Linked DNA regions of Caenorhabditis elegans. The protein of the gene in region 1 interacts with the protein of each later gene in a pairwise test. Each region holds a gene or a part of one and is shown on either strand. Other genes may lie near its edges.

The links.
Region 2: the proteins of slfl-5 (region 1) and rei-1 interact in a two-hybrid assay, tested with the Caenorhabditis elegans proteins (2 studies listed by BioGRID).

What each region holds. Positions count from the first base shown.
Region 1 is NC_003283.11:12,239,422-12,246,865, forward strand, and holds slfl-5 (Tr-type G domain-containing protein), read right to left. Parts: upstream 5,624-7,444; 5' UTR 5,610-5,623; coding exon of another isoform or gene 5,580-5,609; 5' UTR 5,528-5,579; coding exon 5,466-5,527; intron 5,288-5,465; coding exon 4,888-5,287; intron 4,840-4,887; coding exon 4,609-4,839; intron 4,116-4,608; coding exon 3,360-4,115; intron 3,295-3,359; coding exon 3,180-3,294; intron 3,112-3,179; coding exon 2,909-3,111; 3' UTR 2,550-2,908; downstream 1-2,549. Other genes in the region: ttr-22 (Transthyretin-like family protein), read left to right, coding at 2,009-2,177, 2,226-2,491; rad-50 (Zinc-hook domain-containing protein), read left to right, coding at 6,225-6,235, 7,164-7,212, 7,268-7,378, 7,426-7,444.
Region 2 is NC_003281.10:4,095,054-4,100,514, forward strand, and holds rei-1 (Guanine nucleotide exchange factor rei-1), read right to left. Parts: upstream 3,138-5,461; 5' UTR 3,076-3,137; coding exon 2,957-3,075; intron 2,799-2,956; coding exon 2,415-2,798; intron 2,363-2,414; coding exon 2,263-2,362; intron 2,207-2,262; coding exon 2,075-2,206; 3' UTR 1,850-2,074; downstream 1-1,849. Other genes in the region: C03C10.7 (uncharacterized protein), read left to right, coding at 992-1,061, 1,114-1,334, 1,384-1,493, 1,693-1,849. UniProt on the Caenorhabditis elegans protein: Guanine nucleotide exchange factor for Rab GTPase Rab-11.1. Spatially and temporally regulates the distribution of Rab-11.1 to target membranes during embryogenesis. Plays a role in cytokinesis, probably by targeting rab-11.1 to the cleavage furrows.

The sequences.
Region 1 (7,444 bases):
ATATGATTTGATTGGTGCACCATGGGATGAAAAGTGAGAAAGATTCATTTTACAAAGAACCTTGAAGTAACGTTTATCTTTCAGTTGCACGGGAGTACCAGAAAACTTCACTAATATGTTTTACGATCACCAGATTGGAGAACATCCTATTATTTCGATAGACAATTATCGATACACAACTGGGAGTTTTCGGGTAGGAAGACTTTAAAATTTTTTTTTGGATTTTGCTTTACGCTTTCTAGGATATAGCTAAACTTCCGAGTAGCAATTTGATCTGACAAGTATGCGATTGGAAATCTGAGATTATTAGAATTTGGAACAACTCAAAATTAATGTAATTTTATTGCCCGCAATTTTAGAATAGTTCCGTTTTTTTTTTTGAATCGTATTGGAATTGTTTGAATGATTATTTTTCAAACTTCGAAGTATTTTTACTAGATTTATTAATACAAAAACATAAACTCATTTTTTGGTTTCAGATGATCATCACAATTGTTTATCCAATTTTTGGTGCACTTTTAATGTTTGAAATCATTAAATCTGCACGCTTCGCATCAGTGACACTCAGTAGACAAGATGCAATAGAACGGTATGCCAGCTGATTTGATTATTAACTTAACTATTAAATTCAATTTCAAGATATCGGTCGGGAAGGATGATAATGTGCATGACAATCTTCTACACAATTTCAAGTCTTCCTGGTGGTGCATTTGAATTTATCTGGATATTCATTAATCCACAATTTAATACAATTCTCCACATGGTTCTCTTGTATGGCGATGTTTGGGTTGATACATTTTTCTGTTTCAATGCGGCTGCACATTGTTTAATCAATTTTTCAATGTCACGGAATTATAGATCAACTGTGATGAAAGCGTTGCATATCGAGAATTGATGGTTCGATTTTTATTTGGGGCATTATAACTTTATATTCCGGACCATTTGTAGAATCGCTTTCAATTGTATCTTGTTTTTTTGATAAAACCCCAATTTCTTCCATAGTCTGCTAATATATACGTGATTTGCAACTACGATTCAATTCAAAAATATTATGTTTTTTCGAGTCCTGAACTTTTTCTACCTTATACACTAATTTACGATATAAATTCCTCCTTCCTATTTTTCTAGAGTTTAGAGGTTCGTAGATCCACTTCAATTAATTTGAACTATTTTCTAGAATATAATTTTGCATTCAGTGGACAAAGTCAAAAACATAGCTTCAGATCAGGAAACTATTGAGCAAAAAATATTTTCCTTAATAGTATTTTGTCGTAGTAGTCTTGGTGTAAAGGTGTGGTAGATTCAGTCACGTGGTGTCAGGCTGTCCCATTACGGGTTGATCTACGAGAAATCAGGAATTTCTCGAGCATAAACATGCTCTCAACCATGCGGAATCTGCTGAGAAGTCTGCGTCTAAATTTAAGAATTTTTTGTAGATTGTACCGATATGGGACACTCTGACACCATGTGGTCAGTTCCGTCAAGTATACAAATGAACCAAAAATACTGAATATTTATTTTTTAATCACTAGCATGTTTCACACTTTTTGTAATTTTCAGTATGTTCTTAAAGTTAGTTTAAACTTTATCACATTAAGCATTCTTGTATGTTCGAAACCCTACAAATCAATTACAAATTAATTTAATGTAATCCAAGTTAAAAGTTTTTTGGTCAACCTTCAAAACTATGAAATGTGAAAACTGAGTCATTTCTACCGTTGTGAGCATCATATAGTGATTTTAAAAGTTTTTACTATTGGCGTTTCACCAAATTTAAAATGGACTTTTAGTCGTTGAACAAAGTTGATATTTACAATAGAATTATCTAAAAAGAACCAATTATATCCTTTGTCGTTGATCTATGATTTCATTTTAAGTGACAATTATTGAGTCAGTGAGCAAAGTAACAATTTGTAACGACTATATTTACTCGAACTGTGTTTCTATTTACTTCTTGTAGACAGTATATAAATGTCTTACAAGAATCACTCTGAATTTTGTGTTCACAATGTTTTCAATTACATATATTGCTCTTTCTGTTTTCTTTTTGATTCATTGCTCCGATGCTTTACTCAATGTTATCGGAAGCACTCAAAGTGTTACTGTAACGGGAAAATTGGTTTGTGAAGGACAGCCAGCCAGTGGAGTTCTCGTGAAGATGTATGACGATGGAACGAGTAAGTTATTATTTGGAAGAACTGTTTTGAAACAATTGATTTTTTCAGTATATGACTCGAAATTAGGTTCGACGACCACCTCATCTGATGGAACATTTTCTGTTTCTGGAACATATACAGATATTTTAACATTGGATCCAAAAGTGAATATATATCATAGTTGTAATTACAATGGACCATGTTCAAAGAAAGTGACAATCAATATTCCTGATTATGCAGTTGCATCTGGAAGTAGCTCGACTGATAATTATGATATTGGAACTTTGAACTTAGCTAATCAGTTCAGTGGAGAAACCACTGATTGTATCCATTGAATGTGTACTTCCTAATAAATTTGTTTCTAGAATAATTGAAATGGGACATCTAGGAAGAGTGAATTCAGTTCATTTTTAAAATTGTAACTAAAAAAGCAGTAGCGCAAAAAATGCTACAAAAAATGAATAGAATGAGTGGGGGCACCTGGAAGAAGAGAAAAAAGAGGATCTAGAGTATTTTTGGAGACAAAAAGGTTCACTTAGTGAACAAATATTCAGAATTGTACAATTTCAACTATGTACAACTATTATCAACCCGGAGCAAAATGTAAACACACGGGTACCTAGGAGGAGAGGGCAAAGAGAGAGAGAGTGAAAAAAGACTACAAAAAAGAGGTCTACACAAAATATACAAGATAATTGGGAGGGGGGGGGGGGGGTGGCAGTAAAATTTAGAGATTTTCAGACTAACAATTATCATTGGGTGCACGGAAATACTTTTAATACTTCTCCCATTCCTTTGGTTTTTCCTTGACGAAGAATAATTGGTGATCCTTCACGAATGACTTCTGGTTGATAGGCGAAACACATTTTAACTACAGCCCATTTTCCTGGACGGATGCAGTCTGCATCGTCGATGTGAGTAATAATGGCAGTTGTACAGACACTTCCGATAAACACTGAAAAAGTTCATAAATTATTTCAGAAAAAATCAAAACTGAAAGTTGAAATGAGAAAAAGTACTCACCTGTGGCTTGAAATCCTTCGCATATGTATTTCGTCGAGTGACACAGCAGTAAAAGATTGGCAGTGAATTCGTAACAAACTGGTGGTTGATGATCGATTTCAGCAAGAACCATTCCCTTTAATGAAAATAATCAATATGTTTCACATTTCGAATGATTTTTCTGTGGAAAAAAATACTTACCCTTCTTAGACTGACACCGTCTGGAAGATTCAAGGATATCGATGCAGCTTCACCAGGATTAACACATCCTACGGCTTGCCGGCTTCTTCGAATCGACCCGACAGTAATTTTTTCAAAAGTTCCATCTTTCATGGGTCCAACAAGAACATCTGCTCCTTCATGCAATTGTCCTTCAGATAGCATTCCTCCAACTACTTGTCCAACATGAGGCACATTATATAGTTCCTCGATTGTGAAAAAGGCTGGGAGTCCAACTAGTTGAATACGTGACTCTGCAGTTCCAGCTGTAGAAAGGCAATTGAGAAGTGTTCTGAGACAACGAAAACCTTCTCCGCTCACTGAACTAACAGCAAGAACTGGTACGATACTACCAACGCAGAGTTCTTGTGCCGCCTTCACTGCGTCTCTTTTAGTTTTCACTCTTTTCTCGCGAGCTGTCATCCCTGCTTTCGCAACAAGATTGGAAACATCTTTGATGATTTTCTTAAGTCCTTGTCGATCGACTAGATCCATTTTTGTGATCAGTACAAACATTGGAATGTTTAAAGCGGCAATTAATCCAAGATGTTCACGAGTGGCCCACGTGATTCCTCGATCGGCGGCTACAACAAGGCAAGCGAAATGAGGAGTGTATCCGGTTAATCCATGAATTGTCGTTTTCTGATATTTTGCGTCTCCAGCCAGATCGATAAGTGTTACAAGTTTTGAAGACTTCTCCACCATTTCTTCGAGACTATTTTGTGCATAATTGACTAGCTGAAAAAAGTAAAAATTAGATATTTATAAATAAATTTAAAAAAATCGAATTTAAGTTTTTCAAATAAAATTTTTCTAAATTCATTGTTTTTGTATTCAAAAGTGGAGTAGAATCATTTTGAAATTTTGTTTTGAATGAAAAAAAAATTGACCGTAATAATCGATTTTAATTGATTTTAAAAGTTATAAAATCTTTCTAACTTTTTAAATTTTTATTTTTGATAATTGGGCGGGAATTCAAAAACAGATTTTTATTTTTTTATTTTTGCAAAATTGAAAAAATTATAAAAATTTTATGATTTTTTGAAACAATTATATTCGGTATTACCGTCCATTTTTTTAATTATTTAAATCAAAAACCCTAATAAATAGGATCCAACTTTAAAATTTTCAATAAAGAAATTATCTACAATTTAATCAGTTTACTGTTTTTTTTTTTAAATATTTTCAAGCATATTTTAACCCATTCTGAATGTTTCGAAAAATTTCTAACCTTTCCACGATTATCGAAGCCAATGACATCATTACAGACAGAACTGGTTTTTCCTGTTCGCACTTCGTGTGGAAATCTGAATATTCCAATTCTTGCTTTTCCGTTTCCGTCGTCCAGACAACCCTGTGTTAACACTCCACACAGTGTTGATTTTCCGACATCGCATCCTCCAACGACAGCAAGACGAACTTCGATGAATTGCTGGCTTTCAGGAACCTTTCGGACAAGTACCTAGAAAAATAATTTCATTTAGATAAAATATGACTCAATAATAATTACCTCGACTACAGTTCTCCGTGAATTTGATCCCTTAACAGTAACGTCTTTCTCGGTCAAAATAACCATACTCGCCCCAAGAGCTTGGGCCATCGTTCTCAAGGTCCGAAGTGAATCATTCAGTTCCTCGTCTGTTAATCCAGACATTATTCCACCATCCTCAACGCCAATTTCATAAATAGCCTCTCCTTGACCCTCACGAAGACGCCATTTCATTTGAGTGATCAGATGTTGTATACGAGATGTCGTTGGATTTACTAATTTTGCTTTGTACTCAATATTTCCAAGCTCCGTTTCAGGTGGCAATCGGTTTTCGGTGTCGGAGTCGGAACATTCATCGTTAGTTGGCAGTGAAGAGCTGAGAAGTGTTGGTCCATTTTTAGAGTCCGATATTGATTGTCGTCTGTAAAAAATAATATAATATACTACCTTAAATGATTTGGCGACATTAAATAAATTGAATTGATTTTATATCAATGTTTTAGAATTGATTTATTTTTTATAAGGAATTTAAATAAATGAATTTTGATTTTAGAAATAAAATTTTCAAATGTTAACCACACAATATTTATCGTACTCACCTAGTTTTGTAAAGTGGCTGATGATTCTGCTCATCGCAGAAATGTGAAATCATAAAATCCATAGTGAGATTGAGTTGTTTATTATTTTATGAAATGAGATAATCAGTTGGATAACTACTGCTCACGCCGTATTCGATCTATCATTCGATTCTCCGATTCTGGAACATCAAATTTTAATCATAGGGAGAGAGGTTCGGGTACTTGAGAAAAAAATGTCGTGTTTCGAGAGGTTTTGAAAAGTCAGTTGTTAACTGGTTCGGTCAACATGTAGAGATTGTAGAGAAATATGAGAACTTAGAGAATTGACGTATGAAGAGAAAAAAGTGGGAAAGGGGAGCCGCTGTTGTTTTCGAAAGAAGAAAATAAGACAGAAAAAATCGGAGAGGAACATAACAACAAGTTAAGTTGACTTTTGAACTGGAAATTTGTCAATATTGAAAAAAGGAACAGTGAGAAATATCGATTTCCACGTCGCTCGATTCTATGAAAAGAAATTATGCACACACAAGCTTCACAGTGAGCATGCTGAATGATTGAGCAAATACATGAGAGAATAAGAGAGGAATGAGATGAAAAGAAGCGTTCAAATCAAAAGAAACCAGACAAAATGGCGATTTTTTACGGGAATATGAACCTACTGATTGGCAGTGGACAGCTGGAAGAATAAGAAGATACTGAAGGAAGGTTGAAGTTGAAGCTTGGAAGACAGATGATGAGAGAGAGGAAAACCTGTTTCTTTTTGATTACGATCGGACGGAAATGAGAAGGAAGTAAGTGTTTTCACACGTAGGTGGGCATTGAGATCTTTGAAGGTGCATTCGACAGGTTAATAATCATTCTAAATACCAGGTGACAATGGAGGATACTTTTAAACAGTAAATATATTGGAATAAAACATAAAAGTTAGTCTTACTCAGAATTTCTAAAATTTCAGCCTTCTGGAACGAAAGGTAAAATCATAATAATAATACAAGTGGGGCTGTTAGTAGCCCTAAATACAAGTAAAATGACCGAACACAGCCGTTAAAGAATGTTGCAGAAAATTGCGAAATATTTCCTTACTCTTAAGAACAACATTCGATGTGACGCAATATGATGCATTTCCTTAGACAAAAACGTTCAGTTCAAAATAAACAACAATAAAACCGTTTGTACGATTTCTAGAATACGAGTTTATCAGTTGTTCGGAAAATATCTTATCAATCGTTTGACTGATGTTTTTTAACCATGTGAGAATTTGAAAAAAAATTTCATGATTGCCAAAAATTAAAATAAACAGGAAGCTTTTACCGAGTTTTCGTGATTTTCAGAATGAAGAAATTAATATGAAGCTCAAAATCAAAAGCAGAGGGAAAAGAAAAAATCGAAATCTTCTTTCGGTTAAACAACACGCGCTTGCGGAACTTCGGAGCATCGTATTTTGTTTTTGCGCTCTATTTTTGAATCGGAAACTGTTTTTTTGTCAGTTTTCGAAATTGTTTTTTTTCTGTTTTTTTACTTCATGCAAGAGTTTAACTTTACGCAAAAATTAATTAAAAATACGCAGAAGGCCCACTTTACACAGGAATTAATTGAAAATACTCAGGAATTTCACTTTACTTAGTCCTTTTTCCAGAGTTTCCAACGGAATCAATATATTAATTTAATTTCGCAACATTTTTCTTTGAATAAACCTATTTGCAAATGAGAATGTTTCAGATATTTGCTTATCGAAGCCTGGGAATTGCTTATGGCGAAATTTTTACGCGTAAGTCTGCAAATTTATTTTTACTCTGAAAATACTAAATTTATGAAAATTTCAGCTACACATCAGAGGAATTCGAAGTGTCGGTGATGAGGACCACGATGTTCACAAAATTGATTTCCTCTCTCCGTGCACACTAATCAGTGGACCAAATGGAACAGGAAAAACGGTAAGATCAATATGATTAGAGCATCATAACTTTTTTTTAAATTTCAGACCACCATCGAGGCACTCA
Region 2 (5,461 bases), on another chromosome or scaffold:
GACAGACTGAGACAAGGAATGACCAGCACCAAAGGTTTTAACGAAGGCGGAGCTTTTGACGTCATGGTGAACTATGGGTGAAGGGCGGGAAATGCTGACGTCACAGACGGTCCTGTGTTCAGTTTTGCACGGAAAATCGTATGCCGGCAGGAGGTCAATTGTGACGTAGGCATGGTCAATGATGGGAGCAGATGATGCAAATAAATGGGTGAGAAATTAGAATAGGGCTCTTGCACTGAATTTTGAATGAATTCCTTATCAAAAATATATTGTTTTTGCGAGGCTTACTGATAAAAAAGTGACCAATGGAGTGACCGAACGATTTTTTTTTGTTGGAAAAACATTCAATTTATATATTGAAAAAGAATCTATAAATGTGTTGAAAAGCCGGAAAGCAGCTATTCAATTTCAAAAACCTAAAGTTATTTAATTAAAAATGGTGATTGAAAAGATTTAACAAGAAAAAGACAAATGAGTGCACTTCCAGTGCACACAAGACGAAGCGAATGAGAAATGAAATGAGTGAATGAACGAAATCAGCGGGCGCAATAGAGGTTTCGCGCCAATTGTTCGAATTCAAATTTTGGCGCGCGTTTTGAAAGAAATGACGGAGACACAGAGAAAATTTACAGGTCTGATGAATATTGTCCGACTGATAAAGATTTAGTGTCTGGCGGAAAAACGGTAAAGAATATAACCTCCTAACTATAGTTTCGCAACAAAATATTTTGTATTTTCTCGAAAAACTTATTTTTGACGGGAACGAAGCCTATTGAAATACTGGAAAACTATCTTTAGGTTTTGGGCCATAAATTTGGATGAATATCGTGATGAGACCAACCAATTATGGCGGAAATTCAAATTCTACAATATTTTGGTGGTTGCCTAGTAGCTTTAGATCCACGTTTTATTGAAAAATGTACGGAGAGTTTCCATTGGAAACCAGCAAACCAGACAAAAAAGCTTCTCCATTTTTACTTTACATCAAATTATGGCGTCAGATCGTCGATTTTCTGTAACTCTGTCCGAGGATGATCTACGTCCGCATTTAAGGAAGCCAAGTAGGTTTAGAGTCTGAGAAATATTGTCATAGGTGCCTGAAAATTCTCCCAGAACCACTCAAGCCACCTAAACCACAACAATCAAGTGAAATTGAAGAACTGATTAGAAGAAATGAGAAGCGGGAAGAGGCGAAGAAAGAGGTAAAACGTCGTATTGAAGAAGAGGAAAAAGCGAAGGAACAGAGGAAGAGAGATGAAGAAATTCGTAGAGAAACTCATGAATTGTTGGTTATTAGGGAATTGAGCAATAATCGGAATGATATAGAAATGCCTGTAATCTCTTCAATTAAGTGAAACAATAATATGACACAAATATTTTTAGAGCATTCCAAAGCTTGGCCGGCGTGTGAACAATTTTCAGTATTTTAAATGGGATTCTGATGAAGAAATTCCAATTATTCCAGAAGAAAGAAGACCCGCTTCGGTTAGCAGGTGAGAAATTGAATTGTTAAATAAAAGAAAAATCATGAAAATTTTGAAATTGACAATTTTGTGCATTCTACCGTCGCGGTGTATGCGTACTTGACACTATATATGACGCGCAAGTTGCAAGTCAACGAAATTTCGATTTTTTTTAACGTCTCAAAATTTCAAAAAATTACAATTTTTCAACAATCTATTTCACCCTCAGATTGCCACCAGCGACAAGGGCATCCACTCTTTGTGAGCTATGCACATTGGCTTCACGATTGCTTGATAAATCCAGTGCTCCGACAAGAAGTGCAGCGTGTGCACACGTAGATGCTTTTGTGGGCACTTCATCGTCTTCTCATTATCACAATTTTTAATGTTTCAAGAAAATTGTTATTAAGCACCAGACGAACACAAAATAAAGAGATACATAGAGAAAATGAGGAGCAAAGAGAAAGGGGATTGAAACCCGTAAAAATACATTTTTGGTGAAGTTGATTGGGTGTGGAACGTGAGTACAAGTGAGATCGAGATTTCGAAACTTCGTGAAAAATCTAATATTACACGTGGAAAATTGAGAAGAAAGGGTGTGGCTCAGAGTATCAAGAGCTGTCGGATTCTGCATCACTCGAAGGAGCCAAACTGCTTTGCGAGGAACGCTCCTGATGAATTTGATCGCTGATCTGCTCTAAAGCTCGCATCGAATCACTGTAGCTGTCTTTTCGTTCTTGTACCTGGAAATTAAAAATTATTTTAATCTATATACAGTTTTATTCTTATTAGTTCTTACTTCATGCTCCAAAATTGACATTAACTCAAGTTGAGAATTCATTGTTCGCGTCAGAACTTCTTTTCGTTCGTAATAGGGCCGGGATTTTTTGATGGCAGATCTGAAATTCGGAAAATATATTGTCAGAAAATTGCCTGATGCCTGAAACTCACCCATTTTCCTCTAAACATTTCCTTAAAGCCATTTCCAACTGTAACAAATCCCTGACACGTGATGCATGACACTTTTCAGCTTTTAAACATTCTCCCTCAGCTTCTTTAACCAATTCCAACTGTTGCTCAATCACATCAACATATTGTTTCTCTGCATCCAATTCTTGATTGTTATTCAATGAATTATGCAGTATTTGCACTTGTTCTCTTGCCATTTCAACTGAAGTTTTTTGTCGTTCAAATTGAGCTGCCGCTTGTTGAACACATCTTCTGATTTCCGATTCGCGGCTTTTCAAATCGAAAAATTGACGGGATTTTGATATGTGTTTGGCCAACTTTTTAGGGATTCCAAGCATTTCTTTGTTGAACATTAGTTGGGTTTCACTGAAAATATATAAGATTATTTTAGCATCAAAACCAGATTTGGTACGATTTTTTGCGAATTAATTGGTTAAGAATGACTAGTGCAATAAAAGGTTTCCAGTTTTAGACGTGTAGCGATTAAGCAATTATTTTAAAATAAAAAATGAATTAAAACTCACCAAAACTGTTTCTTGACAGTTTCCAACTTCATCTCATAACTGTTGATGTCATCTGTTGCATTATTTAAATTTTCAAGTTGTTTGCGAATCGATATTAATTGATCGTCCCCTTCCGTCATTTTTAATGTTTTATTGATTCTGAAATCGAATTGTTCGAACGAAAATTACTAGAAATGAAGAGAATATGAGGAGAAAAGATGAGAAAATAAATTTTTTAAAATTAAATTTGCAAATTTTAACGTGAGGCAAAACTGTGCATTTTTACGTGATGGTGTTTGCAGATCGTAATTTGAAATTAATGGCGGGAGTTTTTCAGAAATTATCAATTCGACTTACAAAAATGGCTAAAATGAATGAAATTTGGACAATTTTCTCAATTTTAGTTGTTCAGGGTTAATAGCAAAAATCAGCTGCAAAAATGGCCCTCGACATGACATTTTTGTTGAAAACAAATGGGTGTGCGCCTTTAAAGAGTACTGTAATTTCAGTATTCATTGATTTTTCATAGTTTTTGGTTGAAAATAAATTTACTTATTAAATAATATTACTTTATTAATAATTAAGATAATAAAATTCAAAATTATTCGATTTAATAAATTGTGAGATCAACTATGAAAAATCAATTAAAATCTGATCAGAGAGCAACGAAAGCTTTAAATTACAGTATCCTTTAAAGGCGCACCCCCGTTTGTAAATCTCAGAAATTGCCTTTTCGCGGCCAGGTACCGTATTTTCAGGGCAAAAATCTCAAAATTTTGCGTCTGGGTAATATTCGAACCTCATAATTTTTTGAGAATTTCGAACTTGAAACCATTCTAGAACAAAGAAAACGAGGAAACGGAGAGTAGAACTATTTCAGATACGGTTTTCATCGGTTTTTTGGGTTTGAAGGCCGTGCAAACGACAAGCGGGGGTAGGAAAAGTGTGGGGGACGACGGAGAAGAGAGAAACAGAGACGGACGGTCGGGATGGACAGTGTGAATAGATTGTGGAGGGCAAATGGGCCAATTATACCGAAGGGGAAATATATTGAGGGGCACACAATTGTGGACTGTTATATGAGCAAAATTGGTGGAAGGTGGGGGAAGAGTTGAGTCGCCTCAGTCCTCAAGAAGTACTTTTTTGAAACATATTTTTTTAAAATTTTTTTGGGGCGATACCCCTCAACTGCAAAATTCCGATTAATTGCAACATTTCTATTTTTAAAATAAGAGAATGTCTATTGGGAAGTGGAGCAATCCACGACTGGATTATCGGCCACAGTCCCCGGCTAGGACGTGGCTTAAAATTACAGCCCAGAGGATCACCACCAGGCAGTGTACCTGAATCCCAGATCCGCAGTGCATAGCACTTGAAGAACCGATCGTCCTTTAATCCTTTAATCCTTTAATCTAAAAATAATTTTTCTTCAGTCTGACAAAAAACATTTTTAGAAAATTTTCAGGTTTTGTCAAATGATAAAACGATTTCGCTGATAGTTTTCAATTCATCTAATAATTGAATCGAAAATCGGAAAAACGCGCAAATTTCAAAGCAAAATGATGCTTCCGGGTCTCGACGCGAGTGAAACTTTTCAGCTACAGTACCCATGAGTACGGTAGATGATGATTTTCTTGAAATTTCGTTTTTTCCAAGCATATTTGACGGGATTTCGATAAAAAATATAATTTTTACATCAAGAATATCAAAAGAATTGAAAATTACAACAAAAAATAAAGGGTACGGTAGCGGAAAATTTTCATTCGTGACAGGAGCCAATGTGGCAATTTTACTTGACAAATAGCGAATAATAGCTTTTATGAGTGCTATCTGAAGAAGTCTAGGCGCGTGAGCTTTAATAGGATTTGCGGGAAAAACATCAGGGAGGTGTCGAAAAAACGGGGACAGTTTTTGTGGTCGTAGGGGTGTGTGGGGGACGACAGGTTGTGGATGACGTTGTCTTTTTCATCTTCTTCTTCTTCCGATGAAGAATAAGTGAGAAAATTAGAGAAATAGACAGATACTGATCTATTTTCTCTTTTCTATCTTTCTCTCTCTCTCTATCTCTTTTCCCTATGACCAGGAGAAATTGATGATTTCAAAGGAGAAGAAAGTACGAAGTTGTCAAATTTTTAGTGGGTGTCGTCGGACATGTGATCACACTTTTCATAAAAAATATTTCAGTTCCGTATAAACGAGAGAAGTCAAACAAACTCTGATAACAGGTTCCATGTGATTTTAGAAAATTGGGGTAGGATGAGTGGGGAGGTGATGGATGTGTTCTCGTCTTGGACTTTTCCAATCACATGTTCAATTACATATGTTCCAAATAATCTGAAAAACTTGATACTTTTGACTATTCGTCATAGGCTTAGGCTTAGGCGTAGGCCGAAGCTTAGGATTAGGCTTAGGCTTAATCTTAGATTATGCTTAGGCTAAGGCTTTGGCTTATGATTACGCGCAGGCTTGTTGGGCTTTGGCTTGAGCTTAGGCTCTGCTGCCTGTATCCTTTATCCTCCTCTCTCC